Linked DNA regions of Nothobranchius furzeri. The protein of the gene in region 2 interacts with the protein of the main gene of each other region in a pairwise test. Links are inferred from orthologs where the notes say so. Each region holds a gene or a part of one and is shown on either strand. Other genes may lie near its edges.

Evidence for each region. The genes of interacting proteins can lie anywhere in the genome.
Region 1: the proteins of washc3 (region 2) and hsbp1b interact in binary tests that used the Homo sapiens proteins (3 or more experiments, as listed by UniProt). The two-hybrid records come from large-scale screens. The link is inferred for Nothobranchius furzeri from reciprocal best matches to the Homo sapiens genes WASHC3 and HSBP1.

The regions. Positions count from the first base shown.
Region 1 is NC_091744.1:87,756,906-87,760,793, forward strand, and holds hsbp1b (heat shock factor-binding protein 1b), read right to left. Parts: upstream 2,634-3,888; 5' UTR 2,540-2,633; coding exon 2,495-2,539; intron 1,744-2,494; coding exon 1,677-1,743; intron 1,546-1,676; coding exon 1,424-1,545; 3' UTR 1,419-1,423; intron 974-1,418; 3' UTR 538-973; downstream 1-537. UniProt on the Homo sapiens protein: Negative regulator of the heat shock response. Negatively affects HSF1 DNA-binding activity. May have a role in the suppression of the activation of the stress response during the aging process.
Region 2 is NC_091741.1:43,372,319-43,376,670, forward strand, and holds the start of washc3 (WASH complex subunit 3), read right to left. Parts: upstream 2,821-4,352; 5' UTR 2,686-2,820; coding exon 2,635-2,685; intron 1,139-2,634; coding exon 1,040-1,138; intron 938-1,039; coding exon 872-937; intron 800-871; coding exon 662-799; intron 1-661. Other genes in the region: uncharacterized protein, read left to right, coding at 3,163-3,196, 3,917-4,119, 4,202-4,303. UniProt on the Homo sapiens protein: Acts as a component of the WASH core complex that functions as a nucleation-promoting factor (NPF) at the surface of endosomes, where it recruits and activates the Arp2/3 complex to induce actin polymerization, playing a key role in the fission of tubules that serve as transport intermediates during endosome sorting.

The sequences.
Region 1 (3,888 bases), on a different chromosome or scaffold from region 2:
CACATCTAAACATCTAAACGACCAGTTTCTCCCAACAACAAAATGTTATTTAATGCATGAAGAAGTTGGAGCATGCAACATTCACATATTCCAGATGGAGTATTGTGCATAAGTCTTAAGCCAGACAGTCCTTTTATGAAGCTGGACTCTTACAATATTAGACGCGTTGCAGAATAATTATCCTAACATTAATTCATTCACTAATGAAAATAGAAAATCTCAGTTTTAGGTGCCGGATGTCCTCAAAATAGAGTAAAAAAGCAAATGGGATGGAGGTAAAATGTGGCAAAAAGTGGGCAACCCTGGGTGATCAGGTGTAACTGCTTTTTCAAGCCTAAACCATCAAATCTGAAGTTTGCATACAAAGATTAAGAAGAAATGTAAAGGCCTACATACTTAAATAGGTGGCTCAAGACTTTTGCATAGTACTGTGAATAATGTACAGCACAGTTCTGGCTTATAACGTATAAAACAAGCACCCTAGCGTTAACTTTAGTTATTCAGAAACTAATCAAACCACTGAAATGGATTGCAAACTGCAGTATAGAGATAGCTTTAATAGATCAGACGTGGAATGCATTTAGCACATCTGGAGCAACAGGGCTGGTGGTCAAACACGGCAGCCCGTTCAGTATGTCGTATCCATGCTGCGGCCTGGCAGCCAGTGGGGTTTGCTCCTCAGACGAGCTTTACCGACATGGATCCAGCTGCACCATCACATACGGGGACTGACACATTAAACGCTGGCAGCTAAAGAACCTCTAGAAACTGCTTTCTTCCACCTGAAGATCAGAAAGACATATCAAACTATTCTACCTTGCAAATGATGCTCAACCTTTAGCTTTAACATTACCGTAACCATCTCACAATATTCAGTATATAAAAACATCTAACATAAGTCATAAGTAAGTTTTAGTGAAGCCTGCTGCCTCCAGACACACTGGACCGACTTCACACCGCGTGGTTAAGAAACCTGTAAGACAGAAAAAAGCATTCATAACTGGCGTGCAATTTAAAATGTACTAACTAGAAATTCAAATATGACGTCCTAAAGCAGTGCTCCCCAATCCTGGTCCTCAAGGGCCACCATCCTGCAAACTTTAAAGGTTTCTCAGCTTTCACACGCCTGCATTTGATCAGTGGATGAATAACAAGCTTCTACAGACTTTGATGGCATTGTGACAGGGTGAACATCCTGTCCCTGGCTACTTGGCCATGGGGATGTCCCTTTGGCTGACTGGTTAGCACATGTGACTCTCACCCGGGAGTCTGCGGATCGAATCCCGCCCAGGTCCATGTTTCTCCACCTTGCCACAACATAAACGGGTAATACAACTATTAAGTCTGTCGAAGAAGGAAACCACTAAAACATGCTGGACGGTGGCCCTCCAGCCTTGGTATACCATTTCACTTTTTACCTTCATTACGATCCCTGACCCTCTTTAGCCTTTTCCGGCGTTGCCTCAATCTCTTCAACGCCGGCCTGAGTCATCAGGTCAGCGATGTTCTTCTCTAGGTCATCAATACGCGTGCTCATCTCATCAAGTAGAGATTTGGTTAAGGAAAACCAGAAAACTAACACTTTCCTGGGTGAAATCCGTTAGTATGTGATTAAAAGGAAAAGTATTTAGTAGATTTGAATGACAATGCTCTGTTCATTAAAATTGTTAGGATATTCCTTCCAATTATCTGGTCTGACATGGTCTGAAACTTGTCCTGCATCTGCTGCAGCAGTGTCTGAACCTGTAGAAGAAACAAGGTGTTAATCAAGAAATGATGACGCTGATATAATACACATCAAAATAGTCAAATGTATAGTTGATTAGTTTCTTAGGATGTGAAACAGTCGTGACATTTTAATTACCGGTATCTGGGAATTGAAAACAAAGCCTGTGATCTATGAACGATATCTAAAAGAGGCGAAAATCCATCAGCTGTGTCCCCATGCCAACGGAGGAAAAGATTGGTAACCATGGAGATCTGCTTTTAATTCATTCTTAGAGGATGTGTGGTGGACAGAGAAAACACCCACACATTCGCAGTTAGGACTCTGGTCATCTCAAAAGGCAGCTAGCTGTGAGGGGTCATTCAGCTCTTAAACGCCTCTCACGAATGCTCATCTCCATGGAAACACTGAAACATTGGCCAAGATGTCTTTGTGAGACACTAAATGATTACGTAACGCGCAAATGTGCTGTTTAATATCACATTTGAAAGAGAACAATTGAAAACATGTCTTAATTGTTCAATAAATCTTACTGATGTAATAATGCATCCTACAGTAACGAATGCTAAAGCGGTTTGTTGTGACTGATTAAGCTAAATGTCAGGACAGTTTAGCTAATGCAACATTTGATCAACAGACGTGTTAAACTGGAATATTTACACAAGTAAGCGTGATTATGTGAATACCCAAATACACTTGAGCAATCTTACTAGCAATGCAAGCTAGCAGTAGCTAGTAGCACTAGCTTGCATCACGGTCACGACTCACCACATTTGTAAGGTCCTGCACCGTCTTGGGATCCGTCTCAGCCATGTTGTGAATGTTAATCCGTGCCTTCACAATACAATAAATCAGCTATAAATCACCGTTTTACTATTGGACCGCTCAGAACAGACTAACACTCGGTAGAATCTTCTGCAGTCAGCTGTTCCCACAACAAAGACAAGTCTCGCGAGAGTTGAGTGGTGCTGGGCCGTGTGGAAGATGGAGTTCTGATGGGAAAACATGCACGGTACTTGTGTAGTTCATGCTCAGCTTGCCAAGAGACGCGCTTCTTTATGAGTGTAGGCTCTAATTGTCCATTACATGAATCGGTTGTAGCCATAGACTGTACATACTTACATACTGTAGGTTGTAGCCTTTCATAAGAAAACATGTTCATGTCCGCGCGAGCGCGTGCATGCGCACGGCCGAGCGCGCACGTCTTCCTCCGTTTTCAGCAAGTTTGGATTTGAAACTTGGAGCTGCCAAGAGTTTCCGTGTGTTTTCACGCCCAGACTGCGTGAGAGTGGAGCCTTGTACATAAATAAGTTTGTTTCACACTGACGGGACGTGAATGAAGGCGCCTGGTAAGTAAAGCAGCAGCAGAGGATGTTTAGGAATGTCGCGACATCATAATTCCAGAGAGCGAATCAGATCCGCGGGTATCAAGTAGCGCTTTGCAAACTACCAGTTTAGTAGGGACGTGTTGTTATTTATTAATACTTTTTGGATTTAATTATGAATTCAGCATAAAAGAGCACACATTCCATGTTTATATATATATATATTTGTGTGCGCGCAGTAACTCCAACCCAGTAGCCCTATGTTGATGTTGCGGGTGTTGTTAAAGTTGGCCCTGCCCCATGAAACTATTTGCTTACATAACCTGAACTTGTTCTCCTGTGTGCCACTCAGCATCTGGTGTGTGTGAGTTTAAACGTCCAACCATGAGAGACTATTTCACGTGCTGAAAACATGTTGAATTAAAAAATAAATAAATAAAACGTTTGCATTTATAAACTTGCAGATGAACCAGGTGTTTAATAGATATTATTAAAGGATGGGTTTGCTCCATCAGCTCCAGCATTTGTTGGCTAATCATGTGTTCATCACATTTTCTGCACTGCACACCAAAATGATGTTTAAAGTTTTCTTATAATATGAACAGAGAGCTTGTTGTTTGTGCTCTGATGGCAAAAGCATCTCTACAGCTGCTGCTGTGTAATTAGTCCACTAGCTGACTGGAACATCAGTGAAACAGCACAGTGGTGAGTTCATGGGCTGTACCTCCTAGCTTTGATGAGTTGGTTTCTCAACAGATGGAACAAACAACACCGGCACCTCTCTAAACTCCACACACTCAGCTAGCTGTTCGCTCTGAATGTGTGGGTCATAGTGGA
Region 2 (4,352 bases):
CTATACTTCAGTTTAAGTCTGACCACTTTGGTGTAAAGAGGAGTTCATGTTTGACTCAGTCACTGCAGAAATAAGCCCAAATCATCAGCCCCCTGCCACCGTGCTTTACAGAGGACAGGAGGTGTTTGAGCTGACCTGGTGCACTGTTTTAACCAAAAGTGATGGCTTGTTTACTGACCTCGGCCTGAACTCTGTGCTGCAGACTCAGGAAATCTGCCCTGAAGGTTTTCCACCTTTCTCACTGTAAATATGTAACGTCACACTTCTGGATAGGATTTTACAATCCTGTCAGAGTGTGAGGAGGACAATCAAAATCCAATCCGATCACTATGCAAACAAAGCAGCCAGTAACAAACATACTTCTTTGAAGGTTCTCAAAACTAAAAGTCTATCCTTTACAACAGGAGGGGAATGTTGAGCCTTTTTTGTACGTAAACTCCAAAAGAAAACAAAACAACAGTTGCGTTGACGGCAGGTTTCTACTTGTTGCATCGACCAAAGAGCTGATGACAATCTACATTCCGACTTAAAAAGAAAAGTTCAACTGCCGATTTTTGGCATCACAGACTCCCAAACAAGAAAAAAGACACAAAGACTGTTTTGGCATTCATCGTGGCCGATTGAACCTGCATGTCTGTTGCAGGTGGGTCTGAACTCCTACCTCTGAGGAAGAAGGTGGTCCTGCTGCTACACCGTTAGTTAGGTTCTGACCGATAGTACTGGGTCCTTTAGTGTGGGAGGCCTGCTGTTGGTTGAGGCCCTCTACTGTGACGTCCTCCAGTCCAGGAATAGAGGACAGCTGCTCAGAACAATGTCACTGCATAAGTGAAAAGACAACATCCAGAAACGGTATCAAGGTCTCACAAGTTACCTTAGCCTCTAAAATGCTGAGTGTGGTTTCAATCTGCTGTATGCGAAGAGAAATGTTTGCAAGTTTCTGTGAAGAGAAGTAAAAAAAATAAATAAATACATAATTTGAGTTCATATTCTGAGGCAGAAGAAGCATTAAGGAGTAAAAAACAAACAAACAAACACAAACCTCTTCACACACGGTGGAAAACTGGTTAAGAAATCGTACGGTGTGCACAACAAACTGGTTGAGAAATCCAACGATTCGTCTCTGCTGTATTGCAGGAACCTGAGAAAAGATAAAAGCAGTATAATTAAAAACTTACCAAGTGTTACTATAGTTTATTTTACTAAACATAAACCTCTAGTATAATTGATTTTTGAATGTTATGGCTTTAAATAATATTGAGGGGATTCTAAAATGACTTTTAACTACTGCTGTTAAAATGTTTTTTGTAAATCTTTATTGAAACAAAGCAGTACAAAACAACAATTAACACCAGGGAGAATAAACAACATCTACATAAACAGACCAGGGTCATGTGTTAGCAGTGTTATTTAAACAACACAATAACATACAGTAACCTGTGGATTATTGCAAAGTTTCAAGTATTTGAGAGAATTTTAAAAGCAGCTGAGTTCTACCTTTAAAGTCTTGCATCAAACAAAATGCTAATGGCAAAAAGAATGATGAAAACTATCAAATCTGATTTTCTGTGTTGGGTAGTTACTAATTATATTTACTTGAGTATTTTTAGGAAAAAGAAATGCAACATTTTAATTAAGTCTTTACATTATATAATTTATCATATAACATTATACTATTATCTGTTTGAATGGATTTTATAAATTAAAGGAGCTGTTATGATTACTCATTATTTGAGCAGCTTTTTTGCAAACACAGTTTTTGTACTTTTTTTTAACTACTCAAGTAAACATATATGAAAGTAATGCTACTCTTATTTGAGTATAATCTCTGGCTACTCTACCCACATGTCTGACTTTGCATATAATGGATGCAAATCGGTGTGGAGGAAAAACATTTGGAATAACAGACTACTGTATATCAGGTGTTGTGCCGAAAAGAGCACGCCTACCGAAATGTGTATCCCCGTCGAAAGACGCAAATTGAAGAAGAATTTGAATTATGAGCAATTCAGAATTTGAACACGTTTCTAATCCGTGTTTCTCCTGAAAAGATTTTGTTTTTGACTACAAATATGATGAAATAATGATTAAATAATTGACCTTTTTCAACACGTTTGACACTAATGTTTTAGCAAGTATTAAACAATTTTGTTGGTTTAAAAAAGCAGACTCAAAATGACTAACCTTTTATATGTGCATTATATTACTTAAAATAAAACATGTTATAAACAGTAGTTTATTTTACTTATTTGCTCATAAACCATCATTTTGTAAGGAAGGATGCAGCTCATGTTGTACACATTTATTAAAAAGCGGTCTCATACGCGCCTTCCCGCAGGGGATGCACATTTTCGCAGACAAGCTCTTTTCGGCACAACACCGGTAATAGAATCTAATGAATGATGTATTCAAATAGAACATCAGTGTTCGGAGAGAAAACGTTCTTTCCTCTTTTGATACTTCTTTAGAACAAACCAAAAGGAAAATGACTAGGCAAACAGTTACAAGTAGGTGAAATTAGTTAGAAAAAGGCCACAGTTTTCTCTGCATTAGTGATTATATATTTTGTTAAAAAGCACAAACATAGCTTTGGGTTCTCAGGTTTTCAGTGTTAGCTAACCAGTTAGAAACACAAACCTTCGTAAGATCGACTCCTGACCCGACTAACGGCAGGCCGTCCTCGTCCATGTTAGCGTTTTACACTTCCTGTGAATAGGAATGTGGTTTCAGGTCTAATGGCACGAAATTTGAAAGAAAAAATGACATGAAACAAAACATTTACACCGTTGAAGGCTTCACGTGACACTGAGCAGTGTGACTGGCTACGTGATTACGTCACTCTAGGAAAAGGAAATGATTAACTTTTATTTTGAAGAGGCATCAATGCACTCGAATTCACACTTTTATATTTCGAGCTGTCGAAATTTTCTAAACTTTTTCTTTATCTAGTCATTGGCTTTGAAGTAAAAAAGAACTTGAAAATAATAGCATTCTGAAATTCATTAGAAAACACCAAAACACGTCTTTCAGACATATATTTTGAAAAGCGGAAACTTGAGTGAATACTTGAGGAAGCGATGCTTGCGCTCTAATAGCGCATTAGCCACCAAAACAAACAGCACAAATATACACAGATTCCTCAAATTCACTTGGTGGGATGCTTTAATGGAAGTTGTGGAATCAAAAGAAAAAATGGAGGGTATGTATGTTACCAGTTTGCCTTTCTGATATTTTCTGGAGACGTGTTTGTTTTACTATCAGTGGGCTCTGTCTATTTAAAGGAACCACAATGTTCATTATTTGGCAGACTGTTGTTGTTGCGCAGTGGAAGTTAGCTTGCTGTTAAATGTACAGACACTCTTACGCGATATATTGTTTTAACTAAGTTGCGAAGCTTTTGAGTAACATCTGTGGACATTTTCCAGATTGTGTATCTAAAATGTTAAAGATCTGTCCAGGATTTTCTCCAGTTCAAAAGCCTGTAGCTCAAATTCAATTCAAGTTTATTTATACAGCGCCAAATCACGACAAGAGTCGTCTCGAGGCACTTCACATAGTTAACATTCCAATACAGGTCAGTTCATTAAGCCAATCAGGAAAAAAAGTTTCCTATATAAGGAACCCAGCAAACTGCATCCAGTCACTGACTGGTCTCAGTGACTTTAGCAAGCAAGCAAGCAAATGACAGACAACAATGTAACAGATCACGTGATTGTTTTATTGCTTGATTGTTTTTAATTATCTGTATGAAGCCAATAACTGTTTCAGTTATGTGTAAAATGTGAGAACTTTGCAAAATCACATCGTGAAAATTTTATCCACCTGCTGTTTCCTGCAAGTACTCTGAATGCTCTCTGAATTAGGGGGTGTGTTACTGCCCTCCATCGGTCATTTCTGACTTTACACATTAATGTTTCAGACCCAAACTTCCCTTTGCCCTCCTTTCGCCTCCTGGTGCCTCCCTTGCATCTTCTGTCTGCTGCTATGTGGAATCTGATGAAGGGGAAAGATGTGATGAACTATGGGAAGCTGCAGGAGTTTGTGTCCATGCTGACAGAAGCAGTTCCTGGTTTGATCAACCACAGACAGAGAGCGCATCTCCTTCTCGGATTGAAGGCCAGGGTGAATGGTGTTTTGTTTCACATGCAAACGTTCTTGTTTTGGTGTCTCAGTCGTGCATTAACATATTTTGATGATATTTCAGTTGATTTTGGAGTTGTGCAAGGGTTCTGCTCGACACGATGTTGATTCTGATGTGATCCAGACCTACTTGGAGGGATTCCCAGTTACCTCTGCAACCACAGACGTATGTAAACTAATGATACTTGATGCAAATGTCAATGTTTTCTTGAAGA